Ovis aries: one gene and its partners. The protein of the gene in region 3 purifies or fractionates together with the protein of the main gene of each other region. This does not show direct contact. Links are inferred from orthologs where the notes say so. Each region holds a gene or a part of one and is shown on either strand. Other genes may lie near its edges. The genes, in order: SUDS3, SAP130 and ARID4B.

Region 1 (3,647 bases), on a different chromosome or scaffold from region 3:
TAGTCCTGCCTCTTCATGTAGCCACACTTTACTGATGGAAACATGTGCTCTGTGTAACGGTGCTCTCAGAAAGCAATTACTGCTTCTAAATGAATCCTAACGTCACTCTCTAGAAAGGTGGTACAGCTTCGCGAATCTAATTGCATGTTTTCTCTCTTTCAGAGCTCTTCCTCCAGCTGGAAGTAAGTACCACGGGTCTTCTGGGCTTGCAGGATCTTTGTCAGGGTGGGATCTTGCTCTCCCAACCCAGTGGCCTTTCCTTCATCACCACATAGACATAGCTGCTGGGTTCGCAGAGGCCCGCTGGAAGCCTCAACTAGGGTTCTGTTTGACTAAAGGACATTTGGTCTCAGCTCAGAAATTCTGTTTGTTGGTGGGGCAGCCTGTGCTTATCCCAGGGGCTTGACAGATGGATACTCACCCCTCACTGCTTTCTTGTTGACTCTCATCTCACATTACAGCCGTTTGGGGGTACATGGTAAAAAACTCACTTGCCGGTGCAGAAGACATATAAGAGATGCACATTTGATCCCTGGGTCAGGAAGATCCCCTGGAGGAGGGCATGGCAACCCACTTTAGTATTCTTGCCTGGAGAATCCCATGGACAGAGAAGCCTGCTGGGCTGTGGTCCATGGGGTCATAAAGAGTCGGACCTGGCTGAAGCAAATTAGCGCACATGCACGCACTGAATTATAATGGCCTAATAGTTGGTTATATTGGTCCTCAAAGCAGCCAGGTCTCTGAATCAGCTCAGTTTCATCCTTTTGAAACTCCGGATGGGAGGGAAAGACTGATTAAGATCTTTGACTGAGCAGATGCCTGAGTGCTGGTTCCATGTGAGGTGCAGACCTACAGGCAGTGATGAGGGCCAAATCTTGGGTGATGTGCTGGCTCCTAAGGGGCCAGTGTGTGTGTGGCGAAGCGGGAGGGTGGGGGAGTGGTCATGGTTTCTCACAGCTACGTTATTGGAGACTGAAGTCAGCACAAACACGCATAGTCATGGCCCAGAGGGTCACACGACCCATAGCCATACCCACCAGGAGTCCCCTTGTTCTTCACTTCAGGAAATGATGAGATTTGGAAAATGGATGCTTATGCATTTTTTTTTTTACTTAGTATAATTTCACTGTTTGAGTGTCTCTCTGGGTTCAGGCACCTAATAAGTGATCTTGTCCTCTTGTTGGTCTTTATCTTACTGCTGGATCTAACCTTACTGTACGCATCAAAAAATAGGGCAACTCAGGCTGTCTTGGTATCTTATAACTCATCTTGAATATAGGTATTTCATCTGGAATATACTATTTTCCTTCGAAGTTGTATCTTCAAAAGGGTTTGTTTACTGTTTTTGAGAAACTTAGGTTTTGTTTCCACATACAAGCCCCAAAGTATAAGATGTGGAAGAGAGGGAAATACCTGATTACAAGTGAGGGATTCACATAAAAACCAGAAGTTATGTGGTTCAGTTTCATGCATGCATTGGGAAGCTTGCTCCTAGACACCCTGTTACTGCTCGTTGGTGTGTGACTGCTGCTGTCTCTCTTATTTCTAGAAAAGGTATTTTCTTGGTGCTTACGCACAGAACAAGGCTTTGTGTTCAGACCCTGGCTCCCAGGGTTATATAGCCACAATCTATGTTTCTCTTTTGCTTAGACGGAACAAGTGGAAAGAAATTACATCAAAGAAAAGAAGGCGGCAGTGAAAGAATTTGAAGACAAGAAGGTTGAGTTGAAAGAGAACTTAATTGCTGAGCTAGAGGAAAAGAAGAAAATGATTGAAAATGAAAAGCTAACGATGGAACTGACTGGAGGTATGAAAGCACCACAGAACAGGATCCAGGGAAATTTGAGGGGGTCTTTGAGGGAGGAAGGCACTCCAGTGCTGACTCCTGTCAGTTCCTCATCATCAGAGCAGAGTGAGCTGAAAGAGGGGTGAGGGGACAGTCTTTGACATGGCAGGTCATAGTTATAGCTCTGTTTTGTATTGGCTGTGTGACTTTAGTCAAGCCACTTAACCTCTCTGAGCCTATTTTCCCCTCTATAAAATGAGGCTGATCATACCTTATTCCACAAAACTGATTAGAAATATGAGTGCCTAGTACAGGACCCTGTACATAACAGGTGTTGGTAAATTAAATGGTAGACCTTTATCAGTGACTGCAGCATCGGGCTTCTGCTTTATTTAACAAAATTCCTGGGTCAGCTGTCATTCCAGTCTTGCTTATCTTCACGAATTACTCGCCCAAGTTCCGCTCTGCTGGTGGAAATCCCTCTGTTTTTTTTTTTTTTTGGTGGGGGGGGTCTACCTTTGTTATGGAAAAAGCATTGTCTTAACTTTGACCTGACTGTGAGAACAGAGGCTTTGGCTATATCATCTATGCTGTTGCTTCACCCCAGGTGTTACTGTGAACATTTCAGCAGGGGTAGCTAAACTGAGTTGTTCTCCTGTGAAGCTAGTAAAGTTACGTTAGACTTGGAGCCAGTCACTCCCTGGCCTTCTAGGATTCAGTCGTCTGCATATGGGAACTCGGCAGGTTTGAGGGAGAAGCAATATGGGCTGCTTTTTCTGTTGCCATATGTAGACCAATGACTCTGAGAAGGATACAGGATGGGAATTGGCTTGAACTAGCTGTTTTGGAACTTGGCAAAATTTCCACCAGCAAATACTGAAGGCACGTCAGTGGTGAGTTTGTCACTTGGATTTGTAAATGGCATGCCTTCTGCGCAGCCCCAGATTTACTCTTATAATCATGTTCAGAAGGTCCTGGGGCTCTGGCATGTCTCATTTTTGTTGAATGCTCCAGAAGGACCTTGTTTTATGTAAGTCCTCGGGGCTGACTTTGAAGCTAGAAGTAACAGTTTAGAGCTTTATTTCCCCTTTGGTATTTCTGGTGCTGTTAGCCCACCTGGCCCTCCCCCTGACATGGACTTCTAGCGCCAGTCCCCACGACACACCAGTGATATGTGGTTGTGTCTAAAGTAGGGGTCTGGCTCTTGAAAAATCTCTCTTCTGATACCTTCCTTTTTGAAAGACTTGGCAAAAGGAATGAATTTCTTGAAGACCACTGACTGCAACTCAGAAATATGTCCTGGTGAGAATGAATGCTATATAAAACAGCATCTTCAGAACAGCACCGTCTTGTTCTTGTTGAGGCGCTTTTTTGATTAAACTGAGAGCGCAGTGGCGCCTTGTCCGGTCCCAGTCTGCGTGGCTGTATTCTGACCTGCACACCCTCTTCTCCAATGTGGCTCCGGTGGCATTGACGCCTCATCGATCCCCGCTAGAGCCACCAGATGCTCGGAGCCTTCATTAGGCGAGTGGGAAACATTGTCAGTTTACAGCCTCTCCCTTTCCATCTGTGGGGAAGGCTGTCAGCCCCTCACCTGTGATTTGGCATCCTAAATATTGACAGGCAATAGTCATTGGTGAGCCAGGCTGTTTTACAGCCGGAATTTTAACAGGGACAGGAGACATCCTCAGTGACTTAAGAGGCCGAGCCTGCCAGGGTAGAAAAGACAAATAAATGCAGGGAAATCATTTATGACGCAGTAAAATAGACTACAGGAGTGCTTACAGCCTGCCATGGGCATTAAAGGTACTGATGTCCTTCCTCAAGCCGTTTGGTACCCTTGGCATGGAAAGCGCTGCCA
Region 2 (4,429 bases), on a different chromosome or scaffold from region 3:
TAAGACTGTAGCCAAAAAAAACCCCACAAAAAACGAAAAGCACAAAAACCAGACTATGTAAAGTCCCAAGGTCGAGAAAACTGGGAACTTATCGCTTATTCAGAAAATGTCAGCAGCTACTGTTAAGTAGGAGGAATACCATGATAAGGAGCACAGAAATCAGGCACTAAAGAAAGGAATAGGAAAAGGAGTACTTTATTTCACTTTACCAATACAGAAGTAATAATACTTTTTACTTGATATATATAATATACAGATTATTTGAAGGAGTAACTCAACTTCAGCACTGCTGATTAGACTGGAAACTTTGTTGGGGGTGGGGGAGGGCTGTTCTGCATCATGTAGGATACTCAACAGCTTCATCCAGGGCCTCTAAATAAATACCAGATGCCAGTAGCACCCCCTACCTGTGAGACCCAAAACTGTATTCAGACATTGCCAAACATTCCCTGGCCAGCCGAATCATTACCAGCTGAGGCCACTCACTGATCTACAGCCTTCAGAGCACAGTTAAAACCCAAGCTGCATATGTGTGTGCATACACATTTTAGAGAAATCTCTTTTCCTGAACAGTAAGTTACTAAAAGGCAAGTTTCTAAAAGGTAAGTTCCTGTAAGTTCCTATGCCTCTGCCCACCCTCATGGCACTGTTATTATACTTCTGGGCCTTAGTTAAATAACAACACATTAATACATTTAAAAAATGTATCTTATAAGCATGCTTTAGGTTTCACCTATACTCTGGCACATGTGAATCAAGTGAGTAAAACAGGACGGAAAAAAAGCCTTATTTACAGTAGAATTGTAATATATCCTTTCTTCAAACTCAATAACCTAGTATTTACTAAAACCCCACCAAGAATTTGCTATTTTTTAAGTTGGAAAACCTGCAATATTTTAAAAGCAGAAAGCAATGCAGAAAAATGTCACACATCTCACCTGTTGCAGCTGGGTTTATCAATCCTGCAGAACCACTGTTGGCTATCTGTGAAGGAGCCTGGCTTAGCCCGGTGGAAGGGGTTCCTAACCGAGGAAACTGTTGAGAACTCATTTCCACCTGCAGTGCATAGTCACATGGTTATTACTGGATTCTGAGATTAGAACCAATAATGAGAAATTAAAGCATTTTTAGTACCTATACCTTCTTTTAGGAAAGCAAATGCAGCATCACTGATTGAAACTAATACTTGTGTTCAACATACAGTGCAGAAGTGGTCCAAATCGTTTAAGTTTTCCGTGTACATAGGTTCAGTTAATGGTAAAATCGCTTATGTGATACTGAGGGCTATTATGACTTCCCCCCCCAAATACCTGTGAACTGCCAGACGAAAAAGTCGACACTACATCGCGTGCAACAGCCACATGACATGTATTAACACAACACATATATTTCTCTGTAAAGTTTCATGACAAATGGCTTGTGCCTTTGAAAGCCAAGCCTCCCACCAAGGTGTACAAAACTGTCATCAGTGTGTCAGGGGAGGAATCGGAGGCAGACGCCCTGTCCTAAGAAAGGATTAGAAACCTTACATCAAGACCTGATCCAAAAGGAATTCTCATGTTTTTCTGCACAGGCCTTCAGTGACGGATTTCATCCCACCCCTTTCACAGACGGCCATCGAGCCAAAGGGAACCGAGACCTTCACCACCTTCCCTGAAATCGACCCTCACTTTCCCCTCAGGAGCCAAGCTCTGCCGATATCCTCGATAGCCCGCAATCCTACCCCTACCCAGAAGCCCGAAGCCCACAGCTGAGATCGGAGAACACGGGTCTCCAGACACATGGGGTCTCTGACTTCTCCGGAGAGGGGTTAGGCATTCTGAGGAGCTCAGGACCAGTATGCCTCTTTACCTGCAGCCGCCGCCCGCCGCCCGCCGCTCCCGATTCCACCTCGCCAGGCTGAGAGGGCCGCGGAGGACCCATCTCGCTGGCAGCGCTGGGTTCCGAGGTCGCCGGGAGGGCTCGCGCCGCAGCGCGCCTCGGGCCCGCCGCTGTCCAGCTCCTCTGGCCCCGCTCACCCGGGCCACCCGGCCACCGCTCCGCTCCAGTCCTCTTCCCCCGAACCTGCCCCTACCTCCCCAGTCTGCCCATTGGCCCCACGCCGGGCGCGTCACTCCAGTGCCCGGGCCAATCCACCGCGGTCTGCCAGCTCTGATCCCGCCCCACCCTCCCGCCGACTGCCAGCCAATCAGGCGCGAGCCTCGCCGGGGCAGCCCAAGGCCCTCGAGGCTAAGCCAATAGCAGAGGAAGACAAGCGCTGCCGGCGAAAGGGGCGGGGAGCTAGGAGGCCCCGCCTCGGTCGGGGTCTGAAAGCGGCGGGCGCAGGGCCCGGATGTGGAGAGTCACTTTAAACTGCTCCAGGAGCCAAACTCCTTGGGCCGCCCGCCCGCCCGCGCTCCCCCGGCCTCTCAGCTTCCCCGCCAAGGCCCACGCCCGCCACGCCCCCACGCCCGGATCAGCCCAGCCCTCCCGACGCCTCTCCTTTCCCTGCCGCAGGACACCGGGCCTTTGCCGCCGAGCTAACTGCCATGCTCAGCTCGCGAAAGAGCCCAGATCTACGCCGCAGAAGACGAGGCACCGCTGCCCTTCCCCGGGGACGCGCAGCGGGACGGACGCTGCAGCCCGGCTCGGCCGCCCCGCCCCCTCGTCTCCTCCCCTCCCCTTCGCTCCCGGGCGCCCGTCCCGCCATTACTTGAGTGCTGCGCCAAGTGGCCGCCACGCCACTTCGAGCTTGCTTCCGTGCGCTCTCCGCCTGTGGAGCCGACGTCCTCGGGCTCCGGGACCGGCCGCCGCCGCCGAGGCGCTAGCACTCTGCCCCCCACCCCTCAACCCAGCGCCGCTGCTTCCGCCGCCGTAACGAGCCCCTCACCCATTGGCTGGATTAGGCCCCGCCCTCCTCCGAGGAAGCCAGTCGCCCCGCAGTGTGAGCGGAGAGCGGACCGGCCAGCCCCTCGCGGCCGCTGAGACCTCTGGGAAATGTAGTCCCTGATGCCTAGAAGGCGGGCCTGGGCGGGGCATCCTGGTGACCCGGCCCGGGCTGCACACCCCTTTGCTGTCTGGAGTCGATTCTGCCTTTTCCGTGTGCCTAGTAAAAACGTCCCACCCTTTTGCTTCAGCTGATGGCACCAGGTTTCATTTTCTCGAGGGAGGTGCCTCGCGGGAAAAGAGTAATGGAGGCCGACTACAGTGGGCCGAAGGAGCTGCAGGCAGGGCCGAGGGGTTTTCTAACTGTACTTGATGTTCGCACCGAGGCCATGGCCCGCGAAGCCTGAGCGTCGTGGGAGGATCAGATGCAAGAAACTGGAGCGACTCTGTGGGGTTTACGCTGGACTCCGCGTCAGCAGCTGCTCATCGGGCCGGACCCACCAGAGAGCTGAGCTGAGCACTCTCAGGTTTAAAGCCGGCTCGGAGAGGCGAAGGACTCGGACACGTTGTACCTGCTTGGTTTTTCCAAATTACGAAGAAGCGGAGGGAGTGGTGGTGGTTTGTTGTTTTGTTTAGAATGGAGGGATGGCGTTTATACGGCTGTGCAAGACTTAGTCAAAACTGCCGAAGCAAAATCTGAGCCTGATCAATAGAGATTATGTCTCCCTCCTTCCGTCCCAGATGGTAATTTAGGTCTGGAGTTTTGTGTTAAGAAATAAAAAGGGCTCACATCCTTCCTCCTTTCATGCACAGCTATGTTCTTGCTAGAAGAGCGTAGCTTGTGGCTACAGGAATGAACCTAAAATACCCCTCTTCTTCCTCAAGCCACTTTCGTTTCTCGCTCTCTTCCCTTCTCAAATTTCTTCTAAAAGTAACTGATGTGATCTACCTTAGCCTCTTCTCCTTAGGCAGTTGATTCTGCTTTTGCCACTGCTTCTCAAACTGCCCCCCCTAAGTTGCCGGTGACTCTCTCACCTCACCCAGTAGTCTTTGCTTAGTTTTCAGCTTGTCTAGTTTACCAACAGTAGTTCCTCCTTAAAATCTCCTTCGCTATGGGAAAAGAATACTGAAGAATAGATACATGTATATGTGTAATTGAATCATCTTGCTGTTCACCTGTTACATTTAGTCTTTTTCAACTATACTCCAAAAAAAAAAAAAAATCTGACACAACATTGTAAATCAACTATAAACTCCTTTGGTCTCCAGAAACACACTCTTTCCTGATGCTACTTCTGTCTCTATTAAGCTCCTTTATGCCTTGCCTTTCTCACATGTGCAGCATTCTCCAAGGCTCTAGACCTCTCTCAATGCTATGCCATCTTCCTGACTAGTTTAATGCGCCCTCAGAGTTTCAAGTATAATTTTCAAAAATGACTCAGTTTCATTGGTGTGGTGACCTCTCTCATGCTTTGTACACCTACAGTTCCACAAATATGTCTTAAAAACCCCTGAGACTTAACATATTGGACACTTTTATTGACTTGCCTCACCTCTGTACTCC
Region 3 (3,647 bases):
TCTCTGGATTTTATTAGATCAGTACAACAGAAAATTTTGTGATTGTGAAGAATTAACATATAAATATTTATCTAGTATATAAACTCTCTTAAGTAATTAGCTGGTACAAGAACTTTCAGTGTCCTTCCTTTGTAGTTCAGTTGTGTAAGATTAAATAATTGAATTTATGTAAAATGTTTGGTTCAGTGCCTGGCCCGTAGCAGGTACTAATAACCTATAATAGTTATTTTGGTCTTAATTTTGGTCCATTGTAAGTAAGGAATGTGACATCAAACTTGGGAAATTTGATTATTTGTGAGTTCAGATGAAAAAGTCCTCGTGGATACATTTGGTTTCCCAAAATGTAAAAGATAACTCATGTAATGTGTGTGTGTTGTGTTTATGTTTTTGTGTAATACATACATCCGCTTAGTATACCAGCTACATTTTATACTTTGAAAGGCTCTCTTTCTTGACATTCTGTGTTCTTTTTGATGTATCTACCTCTGATTTTTGCCACTGAGAAGAGAAGGAGGGGGAGAATATTTGGTTCGGCTGATGGCCAGTAATTGTGTTGTTTGCCTCTTTGTAGTTCAGTGTGTTATTGAGTGACTCATTTGATTTGTGTCTGAGGTTGACATTAAATGAGAAATTCTAATTTTTAATTTTTGATTGCTTTTAAAAATTAATACAGAGTATTAGGTTTTTATTCCAGATTACATAAAAGATTGCCCTGGCTACCACTGAAAGTAGGATTGTGCTAGCTATTATTGGTGTTTGCCGGTTGTGTTCAGTGCTACGTGTGCGTGTGTGCTCAATCGCACAGTCGTGTCTGACTCTTTGCGACCCCATGGACTATAGCCCACCAGGCTCCTCTGTCCATGGGATTCTCCAGGCAAGAATACTGGAATGGGTTGCCGTTTCCTCCTCCAGGGGATCTTTCCCAACCCAGGGACTGAATCTGTGTCTCCTGCCTTGGCAGGTAGATTCTTTACCCTTGAGCCACCAGGGAAGCCCTCAGTCCTATATGGTTTTTTAATGAACAGTTTCAAGTTAGTTTTTGTTTAAAACATTTTAAACTTTTAATCATCTATATCTCTTTTATGTTTTCTATAATGATTCTGAGATGCATGATAAATCTCTTTGGTGTATGATCCGTCTTTGTTGTATCTACCAGAATATGCTTCCTTTTCTCCCTGATGAGCAATGATACAATCTTCTGATTAAACAAGTAGTATTCTTTCAGAAAAAGCCTTACTGGTTAATTTTACATATGTTTATTACGTATACATAAATCAGTTAAGTTGTTAATAGTTTATCTGATAGTTTCTTAGATATTTCAGGCTTTCTGATAATTTCTTAGGTATTTCAGCTTTACTTACAATTTTTTCATTATAGAAATGTTAATAGATTTTCAGTAGCAGAATTCATATTTTTTGTCTCAGGTTACAGCTGGATTCATTTAATTTTTAAGTACCAATTTGACTATAAACAAGTCTTTAAAATAGGAGTAATTCTTAAGAATCTTTGTAGACTTTGTGATGCATTTCAGAGAAAATTGACTCATTTGGTACTTTTGTGAACTCAGACTTAATTTCATAAGTGTATTAAGCTTCCCTTCATCCCTGCTGCCTCACTGTATAGAAGGAATAAAAAAGCCCTACAGTTCTAGTTGTGACAGTATTTCTAGTTTATTTTTTGTTGCCTACATAATTGCATAATTAGGAATGATAAAGTATGTTATTGCTAAAAAAGTTTGCATAAAAGAATTTAAAACTAAAATTATTAGTGGAGGAAGATTTTTTTATCTACATACTATGCCCATTAACTTTTAAGGGTTAGTTACTTAGCTGTCTTATGGTTCTATTTTATGACATTTATTCATTTGTCAGCTATAAAGTGATGGATTCTTTTTGAGAGCAAACTGTTGTAATAAGGATAGACATACTGCAGAGTAAATAATTGAAGTTTTTTAAAAATAAATCTAGTGCATGGAAAATTTATAATTTAAGATTTTCCCCCAATTTATTGAATACAAATTTGTGATCAATATAAAATGAATATGATTGTTTTAGAAAGCACGTGATATTGAGAAGACCAGAATCGTTGCGTTGCTGCTTCTAGAATGCAAATGACTTTCAGTTTCATATTTGCAACTGGTCTCTCATATGCCTGTTTCTTCAGAACTTCAAAGTTGAGAGAATTGGTAGAAGAGGACTTTTGGTAAATATGGAGAAAAGAGAGCAGAAATTGTGTTGAAGTTTAGAAGAATAGAAAAAACTTGATGCGATTTTAATGTGAACTTAGTAGGATATTCCTATAAAAGGTGAAGCAATATTTCATTTAATACAACTTCAGAAAATCTGGTTGAAATTATTTTAATTATTAAAACTAGCCATTGGCTAGTAAAAATTTGTTTAAACTTTTATCTGGAGGTTGGAAATATTTGAATGAAAAATATTTTTTAGTCAGAAAATGGCTATGAGTTACGATGATTTTTGTTTTTGTTAACTGAGTTGTAAAGAAATTCTACAATAAAACATGAGGAAAATGTTAGCGTCGACCTTACTAGCTAGTTTCTTGCTGTTCAGCACAACTTCTGTTCTTCTGCCTGTTGGACATTTTCTTTCAATACACTTACTTTTCAGTTTTCATTTTCTCTGAATATATCTTTCTGTAATCATCCATGGCCATCTCATACAGGTTTAGTGTTTGATATTAAATTGAAACTCAGAGAATATCATACGCTTGGAACCTGCTGTTCCCGGAACAATCACAGCCACGATTTTTATCAATTTATGTGGTTTGGAACTGAAAAGCTTATGAAGTGTCTTTTATTAACTGCAGTTTTTTAAACCTTTCAAGAGATGAAACGAATAAAGAGGAAGAGGAAGATGATGAAGAAGTAGAGGAGGAGGAGGAGGAGGAGGAAGAGGATGAAGAGGATGATGACAACAATGAGGAAGAGGAGTTTGAGTGCTATCCACCAGGCATGAAAGTCCAAGTGCGGTATGGACGAGGGAAAAATCAAAAAATGTATGAAGCTAGTATTAAAGATTCTGATGTCGAAGGTGGAGAGGTCCTTTACTTGGTGCATTACTGCGGATGGAATGTGAGGTAACTTGAGTTTTAGCTAGTGATTACTACCTAAAAAATCTTGTACAGTAATTTTCTATTTTAAAATTTAACGAATTATAGATTTATTAGTATTCCAATTGAGGTCATAGTATACCATATAAAAAACATGGAGTTTTGACTTGTAAATACCTCTCTCAGTGACTTCCTACTTACTGTTTTCAATACTTTAGTCTAGAAAACTAAAGTCTGTGTAGTTGATTTTAATTTTATGCATGTAGATTAATAGGGGCAACATTGTTGGTAAAATGATAGAAAATTTTCTTTAAAAGTTAAAAGGGATTTAAGCTTCTTGAGGTCTACAAGCCAATTATGAGGCTTCTGGCTCTCTTGCATTTTCATCTACCTTTCCACGGTAACCTCTTGTTTCCTTCTTAAATCATCCCATTTTCTTGCCTTTAGTAGGCAGGATTTTAAAGTTGCGATTTCTTAGGAAGCTTTAGCTATTTCAGGAAGACCTTATATCTGCATTGGCAGCTCTTGCATGACATCTTGTTCAGAACCCTCAGAAATTAATTTTTATGTTTGAAACA

The links.
Region 1: the proteins of ARID4B (region 3) and SUDS3 purify together in Homo sapiens (affinity purification with western blotting; 3 studies listed by BioGRID, with this or other methods). This does not show direct contact. The link is inferred for Ovis aries from reciprocal best matches to the Homo sapiens genes ARID4B and SUDS3.
Region 2: the proteins of ARID4B (region 3) and SAP130 fractionate together in Homo sapiens (co-fractionation; 4 studies listed by BioGRID, with this or other methods). This does not show direct contact. The link is inferred for Ovis aries from reciprocal best matches to the Homo sapiens genes ARID4B and SAP130.

The regions. Positions count from the first base shown.
Region 1 is NC_056070.1:56,885,163-56,888,809, reverse strand, and holds part of SUDS3 (sin3 histone deacetylase corepressor complex component SDS3), read left to right. Parts: intron 1-162; coding exon 163-182; intron 183-1,650; coding exon 1,651-1,807; intron 1,808-3,647.
Region 2 is NC_056055.1:117,447,869-117,452,297, reverse strand, and holds the start of SAP130 (histone deacetylase complex subunit SAP130), read right to left. Parts: upstream 2,853-4,429; 5' UTR 1,924-2,852; coding exon 1,852-1,923; intron 1,057-1,851; coding exon 939-1,056; intron 1-938. UniProt on the Homo sapiens protein: Acts as a transcriptional repressor. May function in the assembly and/or enzymatic activity of the mSin3A corepressor complex or in mediating interactions between the complex and other regulatory complexes.
Region 3 is NC_056078.1:7,337,046-7,340,692, reverse strand, and holds part of ARID4B (AT-rich interactive domain-containing protein 4B), read left to right. Parts: intron 1-2,826; coding exon 2,827-3,096; intron 3,097-3,647. UniProt on the Homo sapiens protein: Acts as a transcriptional repressor. May function in the assembly and/or enzymatic activity of the Sin3A corepressor complex or in mediating interactions between the complex and other regulatory complexes.